4 separate regions of the Mus musculus genome follow, and regions 1, 2 and 4 are each reported to be linked to region 3. Evidence: microRNA targets listed by miRTarBase, many of them from high-throughput screens and not tested one by one. Region 3 holds a microRNA gene; each other region holds the end of a gene's coding sequence.
What was found. Region 3 holds the annotated microRNA mmu-miR-425-5p (AAUGACACGAUCACUCCCGUUGA, at 2,265-2,287, shown strand). A microRNA usually pairs through its seed, bases 2 to 8, with sites in the 3' UTR of a target mRNA and lowers its output. Matches are read on the target gene's strand: a 7mer-m8 pairs with bases 2 to 8, a 7mer-A1 pairs with bases 2 to 7 and ends in A, and an 8mer does both.

Region 1: miRTarBase lists Dlgap1 as a target of mmu-miR-425-5p. Seed matches in the 3' UTR shown: 7mer-A1 at 1,824-1,830.
Region 2: the mRNA of Casp9 is a reported target of mmu-miR-425-5p. The part of its 3' UTR that is shown has no 7-base or 8-base seed match.
Region 4: miRTarBase lists Atg5 as a target of mmu-miR-425-5p. The part of its 3' UTR that is shown has no 7-base or 8-base seed match.

The regions. Positions count from the first base shown.
Region 1 is chr17:70,817,709-70,821,545 of GRCm38, reverse strand. Dlgap1 (DLG associated protein 1) reads right to left here. Exons shown (of 12, transcript NM_177639.6): 12 at 133-3,521. The coding sequence ends at 3,312. Among named protein-coding and RNA genes, the nearest start is that of Gm41609, 14 kb to the right of the region's middle.
Region 2 is chr4:141,813,124-141,816,960 of GRCm38, reverse strand. It overlaps Casp9 (caspase 9), which reads right to left. Exons shown (of 9, transcript NM_015733.5): 9 at 983-3,366. The coding sequence ends at 3,274. It overlaps Cela2a (chymotrypsin-like elastase family, member 2A), which reads left to right. Exons shown (of 8, transcript NM_007919.3): 8 at 1,906-2,007. The coding sequence ends at 1,923. Among named protein-coding and RNA genes, the nearest start is that of Cela2a, 11 kb to the left of the region's middle.
Region 3 is chr9:108,566,525-108,570,361 of GRCm38, forward strand. Mir425 (microRNA 425) reads left to right here and starts at 2,253; the gene lies at 2,253-2,337. Ndufaf3 (NADH:ubiquinone oxidoreductase complex assembly factor 3) reads right to left here and starts at 912. Exons shown (of 5, transcript NM_023247.2): 1 at 327-912; 2 at 32-227. The coding sequence starts at 403. It overlaps Mir191 (microRNA 191), which reads left to right and starts at 1,795; the gene lies at 1,795-1,868. It overlaps Dalrd3 (DALR anticodon binding domain containing 3), which reads left to right and starts at 3,368. Exons shown (of 12, transcript NM_026378.3): 1 at 3,368-3,551; 2 at 3,626-3,837. The coding sequence starts at 3,387.
Region 4 is chr10:44,362,748-44,366,553 of GRCm38, forward strand. Atg5 (autophagy related 5) reads left to right here. Exons shown (of 8, transcript NM_053069.6): 8 at 169-1,552. The coding sequence ends at 305. Among named protein-coding and RNA genes, the nearest start is that of Mir1929, 5.0 kb to the left of the region's middle.

The DNA of each region.
Region 1 (3,837 bases), not on the chromosome of region 3:
AGCACTGGGCAGGCAGCAGAGTGTGTCCTTACAATGAAAGCGTGAAAGATAACGTAGTTGCTGAGCTACCCACTTCCAAAGACAACCACTTAGATTTTGGAAGACTGGGGCTTCAGTAAACACACGTGGGCCTGAAAGAAGTGCATTGATTATTTTATTAATTCCTTCTTTTTACATGATGGGAAACGTTCATCTATTTACAGGTTGTTATTTTTATTTATTTTTTTGTCCACACACAATCTAGGTAAATAAGCCTATGAAATTCCAATTCAGAAAGCCATAAAAATCTTCCCTACCCCATCCATCTGAAGGCTTTCAAATGAATCTTTTTTTCCCCAAACCAAATTAATTTTTAAAAATTACATTAGGGAATTCAGATATGCTGATGATTTACATTCCAGTTATTTAAAATATGCATCTAGACATGTTCTTAAAAAAAGAAATGGTAAATTCACAAGGATAGGGCTTAAATTAAAGCAGTACTTCACAGAAAAACATTAAGGGAACATCTATAAATAACAGAAATATATTACAAATAAATTAGTTCTATTTACCATTTCAAATATTAAAAATCTTTAATCCATTTCTTCATCTCTCTTTACAAAAAGGTTATGTGAATTGTATGGAAACATCTGCAAAAAATATAATAAATACTTGATTTCTTTGAATGTATTTTTGTTGTTGTTTTTGATGAGGGAGACAAACCTCTTTTGTAATTTCCCCCCCGCCCCAAGAAAATGCCCAACACCTTTATACCAAAGTTAAACAAAATAAGTAATTTTTGAGGGTACATACACTGTTCATTATGAACTAAAAAACATCTCTACAAATTACATCAAAAAGAAGAACGCAACAAAAGTTATGTTCCTGCTGTCAGTTTCCGGGTTCCAGTGGGTAACAGGCTGTATCGTGTGTGGGTCATGTCCTAATATCAATAATTCGCTTTTTTATTTTTTTTAATAAAGTGTACAGTTTAAACTGTGTTTCTCAGGAAGGCAAAGGTTCTGATGCCCTGCAGGCATTCAGCTAAGAGATTTAAAATTCTTACCAAAAATAGCTTATGAATATACAAATGCCGTTCACTTGGACAAGATAAATAGGCCTTCTCTTGTCTCTCTTTAAAATAGCCTGGGCTAAATCAGTCCCCAAGGAAAACATTGTCAGAGGATCTGGAATCCCACCAGAAACTGACCTCAGCGCTATCTCAGGGCAAGGAGCTGCAGTAATGCATGAGTGGGGCAAAGTGGGACCAGAATGGACCAGAATGAACGCTGCGTTCTGTGAATGCCACATCTTTCTTGAATCAGTGTGACCATGGGCTACCCAAGGTGAAAGTTGGCCTTACTCCCAAATACTTCTGATCTTACATTGCTGCTCCACTGTAAAGAAAACGTGTCTTTTTTTTTTTTTTAAACTAGCAAATACTTGAGTCAAATCTCTGCTCCAATTTGACACAGCGCTGACTTTGCCCTAGTTAAAAGTTGTTGGTTTTGTTTTTTAAAGTAAGTTATAGCCCTTTTCTTGTAAACCACAGCAGTAAACATTTGTGCCCTGTTGAGAAAGGAACCTCAAAGCTTCGATGGCTCTGAGAGGTAGCAAATTCTCTAGTGGTTTTAGAATATGTCTGAAAATACTGGTTGCCAGAACCCATCCCTTCTTTTAATTTCATAAAGAAAATTAAATTAGCACCTGGCTATGAGAGTGGTTTTTGTTTGTTTTGTTTCTTTTTTTTGTTTGGTTGTTTCTTTTTTTTTTTTTTTAAGCATCTCTGATACAAGCATTTTTTTTTTCTTTTAAGTCTTTCGTTTTTTTTTTTTTTTTCCTATGACAAATTTCTAATTCTTTAGGTTGCCAGCTGATCTTTTCAGATAGCCACATTCTGAATGTTTAAACTGCTGCAAGTAAAGGGCATTTGAAGACTTCAGCTGGAAGCTAGGACACACAGCCCATCAATGACGACTAAATTGCAAGCCAACAACCAGCCTGGAATCCACCCAAAGATTTGGCTTTCTATCAGCGTTTATGAATGCCGCCTGCCCTGCCGCCTCCTTGTTCTTGACCCCTGCGTCTCAAATGACTTCTCTCACTACCTGGAACTTCAGGATCACAACGACAGCTCTTGGGAATGAGGCAGCGTGTCAACTGGGGTAGAAAACCTTTTATTTTATTCATTTGACATAGAACAAAATCCTGTGCTGGGGAACAGGTGAACTCTGTATTGGAGTGAAAGGAAACCAAAGGAGAAAACGCCCCCGGGAAATGTGAACTAGACAGGTGTGGCATTCAAAGGGTGGCGGAGAACCCGAACTCTCCTCTGGCATTGTCCTTGCCGCCCCTCAGAAGCAGAAACGTTCTTCCGTGTGTGAAACCTTAAGTGGCCCCACCAGGATGGACACTAAACTGACAGAACCAACTCTTTCCCACCCTCCCATTTAAAAACCATTGCCATGACATTATAATACATAGAGTACAAGAAAAGTTGATTTAAAAAAAAAACACATTTCAGTTCTAAATTTTCTTAAGGTAAATAAATGGATTCCTTACAGAGGATCTTAACCCACCGGTATTTATTTCCCTTTTGCCTTAACTTTCTTCCTTTTATTGCCTTTCAGAATAGATTGATTTCCCTGAAAGATCGAATTTACAATCTTCTGCTGATTGAAACATTTGAAGCTTGGTTGATGAAGTACCAGTGAGGCAGTTTGTACAGCTGCGAGGGAGGGCACAGATGCAGGTACCTGCGCACTCCGCCCTTCTCTCTTACACACCCAGGCCCCCCAACCCTAGGCCAACTTGGTCCCCACTCTGTCACCTTGATTCCAATGAGATGGTGTGATTTCTGAGATTAGAAATAAAGCGCTCTCTGTTTGTAAAAAGTAACTGTTTGGGGGCAAATAAAGGGAGTTGGAGCCCTCGTTTCTTTCACATGGAAGACGGTAAGTCCCAAAGGATCACCCTATGTGATACTGGGTTTCTGAAATACCCTATGGTTTTATATTGCTGAATTCTAGGGACACACTAGCTTGAGAGAACTGAGGAGGATGTGAGTGACCTACAGGTGTCGTTTTCTACATAGGTGGGTTTGCTTGGCCCAGAAAATAAAGGGTTTGGATGTCTGCATGAGGCTTCAGGACGGGGGGAGCGAAGCTCGGTGGAGAAGATGGGCAAAGTGGTCCAGGAAGCGGGGCGGCCTGGGGACGGCTCCTGCGAGGTGGACAACTACGCCACGGCGGTGGCTGTCACTGAGCTCAGAGACGGAGGGGGCGGGGAGGTGGCCGAGGGCAGGGATGCGGGACGGTCCTCGGCGGCGTTCAGAGCCGGGTCTGCGCCTCGGGGATGTAGATCTCGATGCTCTCGGCGCTCTCGGTGGCCGAGTTCTGGCGGACCGACGCGGCGCGCTTGGCGGCCATCAGGCGCTTGCGGGCCTCCTGGCGCTGCGAGCTCTCCAGCGAGCGCTCCCGGATCAGCGGCGCGGGGCCCTTCGCCGGCTTCTTTGGCACTGGAGGAGGGGCCCTTCGCTCCTGATCAAAGCAGAAGGTTCAGGACATTACACAGATTCTCAGGACAAGCTTGGGAAAGACTGGGATAGGTCAGTAGTTTGAACACACACGCGCGCGTGCACGCACACATACACACTTCTGCTTTTTGTAAACCTAAGGATGGTTAGTTCTGATCTGCACATTGTTAATATGATTTCTCTTCTTTGTTCTGGTTTGGGTATTAAAAAGATGCAGGGAAAACGTAATATTTTACGCTTAGGGCCGAGGGTAACGCTGAATTGCGGAATTAGGTCTTTCCATGGCAGGATGTGGGCATTTAAAATGCACCCCTGCAAAT
Region 2 (3,837 bases), not on the chromosome of region 3:
CCACTCTCCCCTGCCCGCTTGTCTCAGGCCTTTTCTGCTGGGTCGGTTCAGCACAAGGAGACTCAGCCCCAGAGATCCCAAGAAATTTTGTCAGGGCTCAGAAATGGATCAGTGGGAAAAAGGGGCTTGGGGCCAAGCCTGATTGGTGGTCTGAGTTCAATCCCTGGGTGAGCTGTGGTACACACAAGCACACACCGCAAGTTGATGCTTTTTTTTTTTTTTTAAAGTAAGTTAGAGAAAAATGGATAATCAAGAGAAGGGTTAGGGTTTGGAAGTTTTTGTTGTTTTGTTTTCCGTTTTACTTTGTTTTGATTGTGAACTGAGGACGGGAGCCATGACTATATTTTGACAGAGGGAAATCGAAAACCAGCTTAGAGCATTTCGAAGGAGCCTCCATGACTGGGTGGAAGGATGCTTCTGGGCTCTGTCTCAGCCAGATCCTCAGATCCTCTCTTTGTTCCCAGCTGCTGGATTAGTTAGAACACAGCTGAGCCTGGCAGCACCTTTGGGACCCAAAGCGTGACCTGTTTTCCCAGCACCTGCTGTTTCCAGCCATGGCAGACACAGCAAGGCAGATGGCTGGGCGCAGGAGTCAGGAAGACCGAAAGGGGATAGCAAACCTTGTTGGTACCAGGGCAGAGCCCCCTACATTCTTGGGAGAGTGGCCAGTGCATAGAACATTGGGGGACAGGCAGGGGTTGAGCGCTGAGCTGTTAGCTGTCCCTGGAGAAGCTGAAGAGGAGACAATGGGAGCCTCACCTGGTCCCAGCCCAAGGTGCTCTGTGTGTGTGTGTGTGTGTGTGTGTGTGTGTGTGTGTGTGTGTGTTTAGTGTGTGGGCAGAAACAGCTGCAACCCTGAGGGGGTGCCTCAGAACACACCTGCCTAGACAGCCTTAGGTGATGAGCCGAGGCCAGCAGGCCACCAATAAAAGGCACAAACAACCCCGGTAGTCAGCAAATGTCCCCGGAAAAATGCCAACATGGGAGCCTTCAACAATCACAGCTTTATTTTTGGTTCAGAAGGGAATACATTGCTTTATTTAAAATATTGCTTATAAAAGGAACACAAGAGTGTATCACGTAAGAAATGAAGATTCCCCTGGCTTTAACCTTTGCGCCCAATCCACAGAGGCAATCGCTGTCAATTGTATGCTCTGTGCTCACCTGGGCCTTGTGTGCATAGACGCCAAAACTGCAAAACAAAACAAAACAAAACAAAACAAAGGATCCTGTATTGGCAGAGATGGTGGTAAAGATGCATAATGGCCAGAACTTGGGAATAAGAGGCAGGAGGATTGTTTTAAGGGCAGCCTGGGCTACATGAGACAGTGTCTCAAACAAAACCAACCAACCAAATGAAGCCAAGTATGGTGGTAATAAGGCCAGCCTAGGCTACATAGTGAGTCCCAGCCTCAAAACAAACAACAAAGAAACGCCCACAACTGCATGTGTAGATGGTCTGCTCACCATAAGCCATCAACACATTTTCCTTGTTTAATGAACTCAGCTGGCACCTGCCATTCTGAACTGTGAGGGGCCTGTGCACTGGTCCACACTTTTAAGACCACTACTCAGAGGCAAGGGCAGGCGGATCTCTGAGTTCAAGGCCAGTCTTGTCTTCATGGTGAGTTCTGGGACAGCCAGGGCTACACAGAGAGACCCAGTCTCAGGGAAAACAACAACAACAACAACAACAAAGAAACAGACAACATGAAAAAAAAAAAACCAAAACATACCCATCGGTGCATTTGGCATGTAATGATTGGTGATTCCGGGCCTTCCTGGCCTGATACCCAAGCAGGATTCCGGGCTAAGACCCTTCTTGACCCCTCTTGGCCCTGAGAGTCACTGAACTCAATGCCCAGTGTTCCAGCTAACCTCCTCTCTCTCCTGTGTGTCCTGCAGGTGATGGCAAGGAACTAACTGAAGACATTACTGCCACTGTCCCCCTGGAAATGCCATAGAAAAGAAATAGTAATAAAGTAATTTAAGAATCACATCCTTGAATGAGTCTGTCTTCTTACCCCGATACCCTAACCTCGGGGCCCTGAAAGCAATGCTCTTTCAGGAGGAGATTGGGGCAGTGGGACAAGCTATAATCCTGGTACCCAGGAGGCAGTGGTATGGAGATTTTGTGGTCAGCCTGGGCTACAAAGTAAGACCCTAGCTCAAAAATAAACAAACAAGGCTTGGCACATCTACCATCTAAACTCAAGTGGACTTTCACAAAGCAAAGAGTAGAGGAAACCAGAAAGAAAGAAAAATAAGTGAAAGGCAGAATCGCTTTAAAGACAGGGGAGGGCACATTTTCAAGGAAGTCCCAGCACTTCAGTACTGCCTGGTCACTGCCACCTGGGGACCAGGCTCACTTAGCAAGGAAGACAATGGGAGATTGGGAGACCCCAAACAGCAGAGCTCTGTCCTGGTGTCCCCACTAGGGTAACCAAGATCCTTCAGACAGGAGACTTGATCTGTGGGGACTCCTGACTCCTATCTCGGTCACCTGCTGGGCTCGGGCAGGGACCTTGGAAGACACAGAGAAAAACGCAGGAAAAATCATGTCTCCTTTGTAAGAAGGACAGAGTTGGGGTAGGGACAATACAGGCTAAATACAGTCCTATTGCCGAAGATTTATTGTTGAAGAATAAATAATGTTCTCAAGGAAGAATTAGCCCTTCTGGTAACTTGGAAGAGATGCAGCCCAGATCCAGGTATGCACACTGGGCCAGCTGGACTTTGAGTCTGGAAAGGAGAGATGCATAGACCCCTGTGGTTGATGACCCCCCCCCGGGTGGGGGAGCAGAGAGGAGTGCTATAATGTCCCCCAGGGCACATGTGACAATGTCTGAAGACATTTTTGGTTGGCAGATCTCAGGAGGGGTGCTCCTGGCAGCTGGCAGGTAGAGGACAGAGACAGCTTAAAACCCTCTACAATACACGAGGCAGTCCCATGACAGGATTATACAACCGCACATGTCAGTAGTACAGTGGCAGAGAAGCCCTGTTCTTGAGAGGCCTGGGAGTCCCAGGGCACAATCCCTAACCACAGATGAAGGGGCCAGGCAGCATCCATTGCACTCCGGTCTTCTTCCGACCACTGCTCCACATTGCCCTACAACCTGAAAGCTGCTAGGAGCATGTTTGCATCGCCAAAGGGAAAGAGCAGCCTGCCCCAGTTCAAAATCCTATCTTAGCAGGACAGTTATGGCCTTGGCCAGCTCCAAGCCATGAGAGCTTCGGAGAGAATAATGAGGCAGAGAGCAGCCCCGAGCCTCATGAAGTTTTAAAAAACAGCTTTTTCCGGAGGAAGTTAAAACAGCCAGGAATCTGCTTGTAAGTCCCTTTCGCAGAAACAGCATTGGCAACCTGCAAAACAGAAGAACGGGGGTATCTGTGGGTGCAGTGTCCTTAGCTGACACAATGGCTGAGGAGGGCTCCCAAGGAGAGGGCCACTGAAGGGGCCATCTGAAGGCAATGCCACCTACAACATCCTGAGGTGGATTACAGAATAAACCCATTAGCTACTGTAAAAGAAGGGAAAATTCAAGGTTTGGTTTGGTTTTGGGCTTGGTTGTTTGATTTTGAGACAGGGTTTCTCTGTGTAGCCCTGGCTGACCTGGAAGTCGCTCTGTAGACCAGGCTGGCCTCAGACTCGGAGCTCTTCCTGCTTCTGACTCCAAAGTGCTGGGATTAAAGGAGTGTACCACCACCACCTGGTCAAGTTTTCTGATACATAAATCCACAGTTCTAATTGGACTGAAAGGTTGATGGGGCAAGAAACATGGGAGACAATGACCCAAAGAGCACATGTGTCTTTCTTGGCCCTTTAAGGTCCCG
Region 3 (3,837 bases):
TTTAAATTTCAATGTAGGGGAGAAGGCTCACGTTCCACTGGACCACCGTCTGTGGGAGCAGCACGCAAGGGCCAAACACGCGATTTCCGCAGATAGTGAAGCCTCTGCTACTGTAGCTGTCGATGTACACGGCCTGAGGGAACTCGCTTTGCAGCAGTGAGATGCGAGTCCGCTGGTATAACTCATCGTCCGCCGGAGAAAGCCGGTGTCCCCGACGCGGGTTCCTCCTGCGGAGGGCTAAAGTCAGGAAGTCGTGGCCCGGCCGGACTATGCGGGATTGAAAGGTCCGAGGCCAAGTGGTCAGAGGCTGGACAGGGGATGCTCACCACAGCCGGTCGACGTGCCGACAGAGCGGCGCAGGTCGCGTTCGGAAAAGGCAGCGAAATCCTAGAGCAGTAGCCATGGCTGCAACGGCGCTTAACGACCCGGTCGTAGGGACAGAGTTGTCTGTCTCAAAGTAGCCACAGCGCCCCTTGCGTCCCGGAGGGCACCGCGCACCTTGAACGGCGCAGTAGGCCAATGCAGAGCCTCTGTCTCCCCATGCGGGTGTGTCAGCACCTGTCGCCCACCCCGCCCCATGCCTCCAGCGACAGTCCCTAAGGAGGAGGGGGAAAAACACCTGCTAGTACGGGCGCCCTAAGGGTATTGTTTAGGCCACTGCCGCGGCCTGTTCCTGGGATTCTCAGCCATTATTCGGGCTCCCAGGGACCAGGGCGGGGCAGCTGCGCACCTGGTCCTGTTATGAACACCTGGCCAGGGTGTGGTGCCAGCCTCCAGGCCCTTAATCCCAGGCTTTGGAGAATCGGGCTCCGGGGGCGGGGCAGATGGCTAAAATTTCCCTAGCTAGTCTCGAAATCGCTGCTTTCCCCAACCGTCACCAGCGCGACCGTTGGCGACGGCGCAGCGCTCCATGAGAGGCGTGGCCGAGCATGGATTGGCTTCCCGGCAGCGCGAGGGGGTGTGGCCAGATGGTTTCTCCTTAAAATGGCTCCAAGTCTGGGGACAGCTAGAGCCAGCGGAAGGGCACGCCGTGGCAGTGCTGGAGTAGCTGTTCGAGTGGGACTGACTGGGCCAAACCGGACCAGACGTGAAGTAGACCGCGCCTGGAGCACCACCCCGCCCTTGCGCGCTCTGCGCGCGCGTACCGAGAGTCTCCCTCCCCCTGTCTTGAGCTGAGTCTAGGGCCTACTGGCGCATGAGTCCTTGGCGTCCCGCGGCATGGGCATCTCTGCGCACCGGTTCTGTCCTGGCCTCAGAGGAACTTTGTCGCGTTCTCTATCCGCTGGACTAGACGGGTGGGATGCTTGACACAAATGGGGCTTGGCTGTGGGGTTCTTTGCAGGGCCGGTTGCAATGGGCTTGGGGGGAGGCTGTCCTGCCGCTGCTATGTGGGCCAGTTTGGCCCCTGGCACTTCATGAGCTGGCACCGTCACCAGACAAAAGGTCCTAAGCTTTGGGGAGTCCCAGAAGTGGACACATGGGTTTACTTCCTCTCGGGTCTCACGGAATCGCTTCCCTCTTGACGGATTCCGAAGCCTGCCCGGTACAAGTGGCTCCTGCTTGGGACTCACAGGGCTAATCCAGCCCTTCTGATCTAATCCGGATCAGGACCTCGTCCCGGGGGATGCCCCCACCTTCTATTGTTCTGGGGCCCAGGTGAGCGTCTCATTCTCACTAGACTGGTTTAAAACACCTACTCCTTCCTACTCAGCCCACTGGGAAGGGATGGGCGGGTTCCGGTTTGGCCTCAGGGCGAGTGACCTGGGAGCAAGAGCCCTCCTCCAATGGCTGGACAGCGGGCAACGGAATCCCAAAAGCAGCTGTTGTCTCCAGAGCATTCCAGCTGCACTTGGATTTCGTTCCCTGCTCTCCTGCCTGAGCAGCGCCCTGGCCCAGATAATGTGGTCTCTATTCTCAGAAACACTACACTACTGGGCCATTCTGATCTCCATCTCTCAGGTGCACCCCCAGACTGATGGTGGCAGTCAGAGGCGACGAAAAAAGCTCGGGCTGATGGCCCTGTCTGGAATCCCTGGAGAACTCTGACCAGGGAGGTCCTGGGTCCTCTCTCTGAAGGGCCGCAATGGCGGTGAGTCCCACAAGGCCGCCCAGCCCGCAGCTCGCTAAAGATAGATCTTCACTTCCTGGGGAAAACCCACCCCAACCGTCTTCATGGAGGGAGAGTAGCTAAAATCACCAACTTGCTGGTGGGTCCCAGCCCTGCTAGCAGCTGAACCCACACCACAGCATGGAAAGTGCTTTGGAATGACACGATCACTCCCGTTGAGTGGGCACCCAAGAAGCCATCGGGAATGTCGTGTCCGCCCAGTGCTCTTTCGGCACCTCCCAAACAGGGCCTCATAGCCCCGGCCTTCCCGAACTTTTCCTATCTCTAGATGTCACTCCTCTCCGGAGCAAAGTTCACCGGTTGGATTCATTCATTACTGGGGGAAGTGGAGTTTCACGTTACTTGGAAACGAAAGAGTTTGGACATAGAAAAGCTCACCTGCAGCTTGCTCTACCTGAGAGCTCTGCTTATTTGGGTCTTCTCATCATCACATTTGTCTTAAACTGACCAGTTGCCTAAAGAACCAAAGGTGCCGGTAACACCAGTTTAAAGGAAAAACATTAAAGGCTGGTAATCCTGGAATCATGATGACTAATTCCTCGGGTATCAAGATGGGCAATTCTATCCGATTGGGCTTTTACTGGGAATAAAGACATTCCATACCGCAGCCGAGGAAAGGCGTACCAATAATCAGAACTCAAATTTTGCTTTGTTTCGTTACTTTTCCAAGTAGGCGGTAAAGAGTCTTTAATGGAAGACACGAGTGGTGGCACACACCTTTAATCCCAGTACTCAGGAGGCAGAGGCAGGTGGATTTCTGAGTTCAAGGACTTTCTGGTCTACAAAGAGTTCCAGGACAGCCATGGCTACACAGTGAAACCCTGTCTTGAAAAACAAAGTGTCATTAATGGTACAGCCTTATTCCTTTGACATTTCGTCTCGTGCGTCTGGCCTTTAATTTGTTTAAATGGGGCAGAAAAAGAAAAAAGAGACATAAACACAAAGATGTGAAACTTTGGTGGCAAAGTGTCTTGCCTGGTAACAAAGATCCGTTATCAAAGTAATAATTCGGGGTGACGATTTTTTTAAAAAGGAGGAAAAATGGACCCTCAAATTTGGAGGTTAGGGCTCATGAATACAGGAAAGGCCATCGGGAGGGAGAGCTGGAGGCGTGGGTAGAATGTAAGCTCACTTGGCATGCTCGATCGCTCTGGTCCATTCAGGAGAGTCCACGGCCGGATCCCCGCCCCCGCCAGGCGGACCTCCCGGAAGCTCTACGGATAACTTACTTCCTGTTCCATTTAGTCTTCCGGTCGCCATGGCGACCGGGCGCCTTGGGGTTGGCGAGACGCTGGAGGCCCTTAATGCAGCTGTAGGGCCTGGTAGCCCAGTGTGGTTTAAGGAAACCCATGCCCGGCACCTTCGTGTTCGAGACTTCTTGGCACCGCGAAGCGCGCTACAGGCGCGCTTCAGGGACGGCCAGGTGGGTGCGCTCCTGTGGGGCATGCCTAGCGGGATCCACGGAACTACGGCCCACTTACACACATCTGCCTGCAGGTGCCAGAGTGCGTGTTCCGTGCGGTCTCCTGCCTGCAGGGTCCCGGAGTGGCCCCTGTACTGCGCTGCGCGCCGACACCCGCGGGTTTATCGCTCCAACTACAGCGGCCCGCTGTCTTCGAACATGTACTCGGTGCCCTGGCCTCCTATGCTACTCCCGCCAAACCTGCCTCACCAGGCCCGCGAGTTGTCCTACACTGCCCAGCACTGCG
Region 4 (3,806 bases), not on the chromosome of region 3:
TCTGTTTAGGATGAGACATTTTGCAACATTTAAACTTTCTCCTTGTCTTCATTTCCTGTTGAGGGGATAGAACAAGTTTGAAATCCATTTAATTCACTGAGGACCCTGAAAAGGCAAGTCTTCCTCTTTCCCTGTGGTTTTTACTGTTGGATCTCTTTCTTGGAACAGATGGAGAGAAGAGGAGCCAGGTGATGATTCACGGGATAGAGCCAATGCTGGAAACCCCTCTGCAGTGGCTGAGCGAGCATCTGAGCTACCCAGATAACTTTCTTCATATTAGCATTGTCCCCCAGCCAACAGATTGAAAGAGTGTGTCCTCCTCGCTAGATGGAACCACCTTGAGTCAGGACAACGAGGCGTGACACCCTTGCTTCAGTCAAGTTCAGTGGAGGCAACAGAAACCCGGGCTGCTGCAAGCCAAGGAGGAGAAGATTCCATGAGAGATAGGGCGCCCGGGCAGGGCTGAGTGTGCACCACTGCTTCGCTGAGACACACAGGACCACTGCAGCCTCCTCTTCTCGTGAAATGCAATGCAGCCGAAGCCTTTGCTCAATGAAAAAAAAAAAAATGGAAATGTGCCACAGTTTGTATTTCTGATTAACAAATAAGTGGGGTATTTCCTAAGGTGACCATGGTGGAACCTTAGGCAGGAGAATGGAAACATTGGTTGAATTTTCAATAGAATTAGACTTAAGAAAGTAAAAGAGAAATTCTGTTATTAATAACTTGCAGTAATTTTTTTGTAAAAGATCAAATTACAGTAAACCCATCTTTCCTTAATGAGACTTTCCTGTTTACAGTCAGTCTATTGGTATGCAAACAATCTTGTAACTTTGATAATGAACAGTGAGAGATTTTTAAATAAAGCCTCTAACTATGTTTTGTCATTTAATAACATACAGTTTGTCACTTTTCAAAGACCTCCTGAATCTCATAGAGTAAGCCACTTTTTCTTCTGTGTTCCCATTTCTCACTGGCATAGCAAGGGTGCGGGGCATAAGGCGACTTGTCTCAGGAGCTGTCACAGGATTTATTACTGTGACTTGAAAAATCTGTCTTCTATATACTAAAGGTATAAATAATCCTATCTGTCTTTGCTGTTACGTTGGTCACTGTAAACCTGTCAAATCATAGTATGCCAAGTATCTGTCTATGATAATTTTTGAATATTTTGAATCTCCCGTTCCTTTCCAGTGTTTTTGTTTGGTTTGGTTTTGGTTTTTTGTTTTACGTTTTTGTTTTTTGGCTCCTGGATTATGTCATTGTGGCCCCTGGCAGCCAGTCTTTAAAGCCTGCAGGTGACCTGTCTCTAGACTGCAGTAGCTTTTCCTTATCATTACCAAAAACATCCAGAGGTTACTGGAACTCCTACCACAGTAAGGAAAGTTTGCTGCACTCTCTCGATGGCTGCTTGGAGACTCCTGCTGTTGATTTGTGAGCTAGCTTGCTGTCCACATTGAATGTCAACCCATCTGAGTATGCTAAAAGATGATATCATAAAATAATGGTTCTAGATTCAATAATAAAGATGAATGTTTTCTTATAAAAATTATGTGGTGGCTCAAGTGAGGTCCTGATAGCGCTCCTTCCTCCTTTCTCCTTCCCCTGTCCTCTCCCCTGGCCCCCTGCCCTCTCCCCTATCCTCTCCCCTGGCCCCCTGCTCTCTCCCCTGGCCCCCTGGCCTCCTGCCCTCTCCCCTACCCTCTCCCCTGGCCCCCTGCCCTCTCCCCCTGCCCTCCTTAGCTTTTGATCTTCACTGATTTACAGCACATTTTTTCACAAAAATGAGATAAAGTTGGCCAAATAGCAAATATCCTAGAATGGAAGTTGTAAGCATAATAATAAAAGAAATAACAGTGAGGGTCAATCACAGAAAAAATAGAAGCGAGCAGGAAAGCATTGCCTGACAAAACAAAGCGCCCTTTCAGTAAAGGCGGGGAAAAGAGCACCCTCAGTTACATAAGGAGAACTCGCTGACTTGTGCTTCTGCACATTGGTCTGGGTATGAATGAGGGGATTTTCCCCTTTGGAGTTTTGACAAACTGAGGAGAGGTTACTGAAGGATCGGATGCCAGGGAGGGCTTGTGAGGTGTGCTCAGAAGGGTAGCCATGGTGACTTTTGGGTGACACTGGGGTAAGGGACCTCCACTTGTAGATTAACCGAGTAAATCCCACCAAGCCACTGCCGGCCAGCCCCCCGGTGTTCCTGCTGCCAGGAGCATCTGCAGCCTGGTGAGCTAAGGACCGGGCCCAGTGACCAGAGACAGAATAAAGCCAGGAATTAGTGCTGGCTACAATACCTAGTTTTTATTTGAGCACTTAAGTCTTATGGCCTACTAAAAAGCTAGGTAAATATGTTTGCCTTCATTCCTAGGAGTTGGGAGTGAAATATTTATAGAGCAAGATTGGGATTCCCTCATCTTCAGACTACAAGTTTCTACAGAGATGTGGGATGAGGGATAATGGAGAACGAATGGGCTACGGGTCTTAGTAGGTGGCTCACTCTGAGAATGAAAAAAAGTAAGTTCTTGGCTTTGGTGACAGGGGAGGAATTCAGAGCCTAAGCTACTACTTACCTATCATTGTGCTCCTCGAAACTTGCATGACCTTGCTCCGACCATAGAGAGCTTGTTGGAACTGAAGCCTGGTGATAAGGATGCACAGGGTATGTCCCTGAGGATGAGGGACAAGTGTCCCCAGCCATGTTGTGATTTTCCCAATCAGCGAAACTAAGTGGGTTATCCTAAGACTTCAGGTTTAACATTGAGCAATTAGCTTTGGGGTGGGGGTGGGGGAGCCACAGCAGGAGTGGGGGCTGGCTCTCTCCTTCCACTCCTGGTCCCAGAGATAGAACTCAGGGTGTCACTCTTGGCGGCAAGCACCCTTAACCACTTAGCTACATCTTGCTGGCCCACCAATAACTCTTAATGGTTATTTTTCTATGGTATACTTGTTTAAAAATCTGTTCAGATAACCTATCTTCTAGTTTTCAAAACATGCAGTACATGTGGCTCGTGCTAGATAATGCAAATTACATTTTCTCAGACTGTTGATGCTTCCGTTCTGAGAGGAGCCGGGTCTCCCATTACCTGTGGCACTGTAATTCAAAAAGCAGGATAAAATCCCTGGGTATGAAGGGAGAAAAATCAAATATGATCATATTTAAAACTGGGCTCATTTTTATGCAACCACGATGACAAGAGTTGTTCTCAATACAAGTTCTATTCCTCTCTGTGGTCTTTTTTTTCTTTTTTTCTTTTTCTTTTTTTTTTTTTTTTCTGCTCTGTTCTGTTTTTTGAGACAGGGTTACTCTGTGTAGCCCTGGCTAACTTGTAACTCACTCTGTAGACCAGGATGACCTCCAACTCAGATCTACCCGCCTCTGCCTCTGAGGAATGGGATTAAAGGTATGAACCACCACCACCCGGCCGTCTTTATTTTCAGATATATTCATCTGGCCTGAGAATGCACCAGAAGAAGGTGGAGGAAGGAGAGGTGTGTATCTTGTTCAGATTATTGGAGAGCAGATGGCACCCTGTAATTACAGGTCATCTTTTGTGATACAGAAGTGACAGGCAGGTAGTGTGAGCTGCACTCAAGAGCTTCGATGGCTTTTAGGCTAGCACGTGTGGTAGGGATGCTCTTTCCAGCTGGGCAGCAAAGGGAATCCCCAAGTCAGGCAGTCCTGAGAGCAAACATAACATTTTTCAGTGTGCTGTGTTGTAAAGCCACCAGGTTCACATGTGTGTGAATCAGATGCACTGCTGTTGAGTTGGTCTTGAGCCCTCCATGTAGCTAACAGTTCC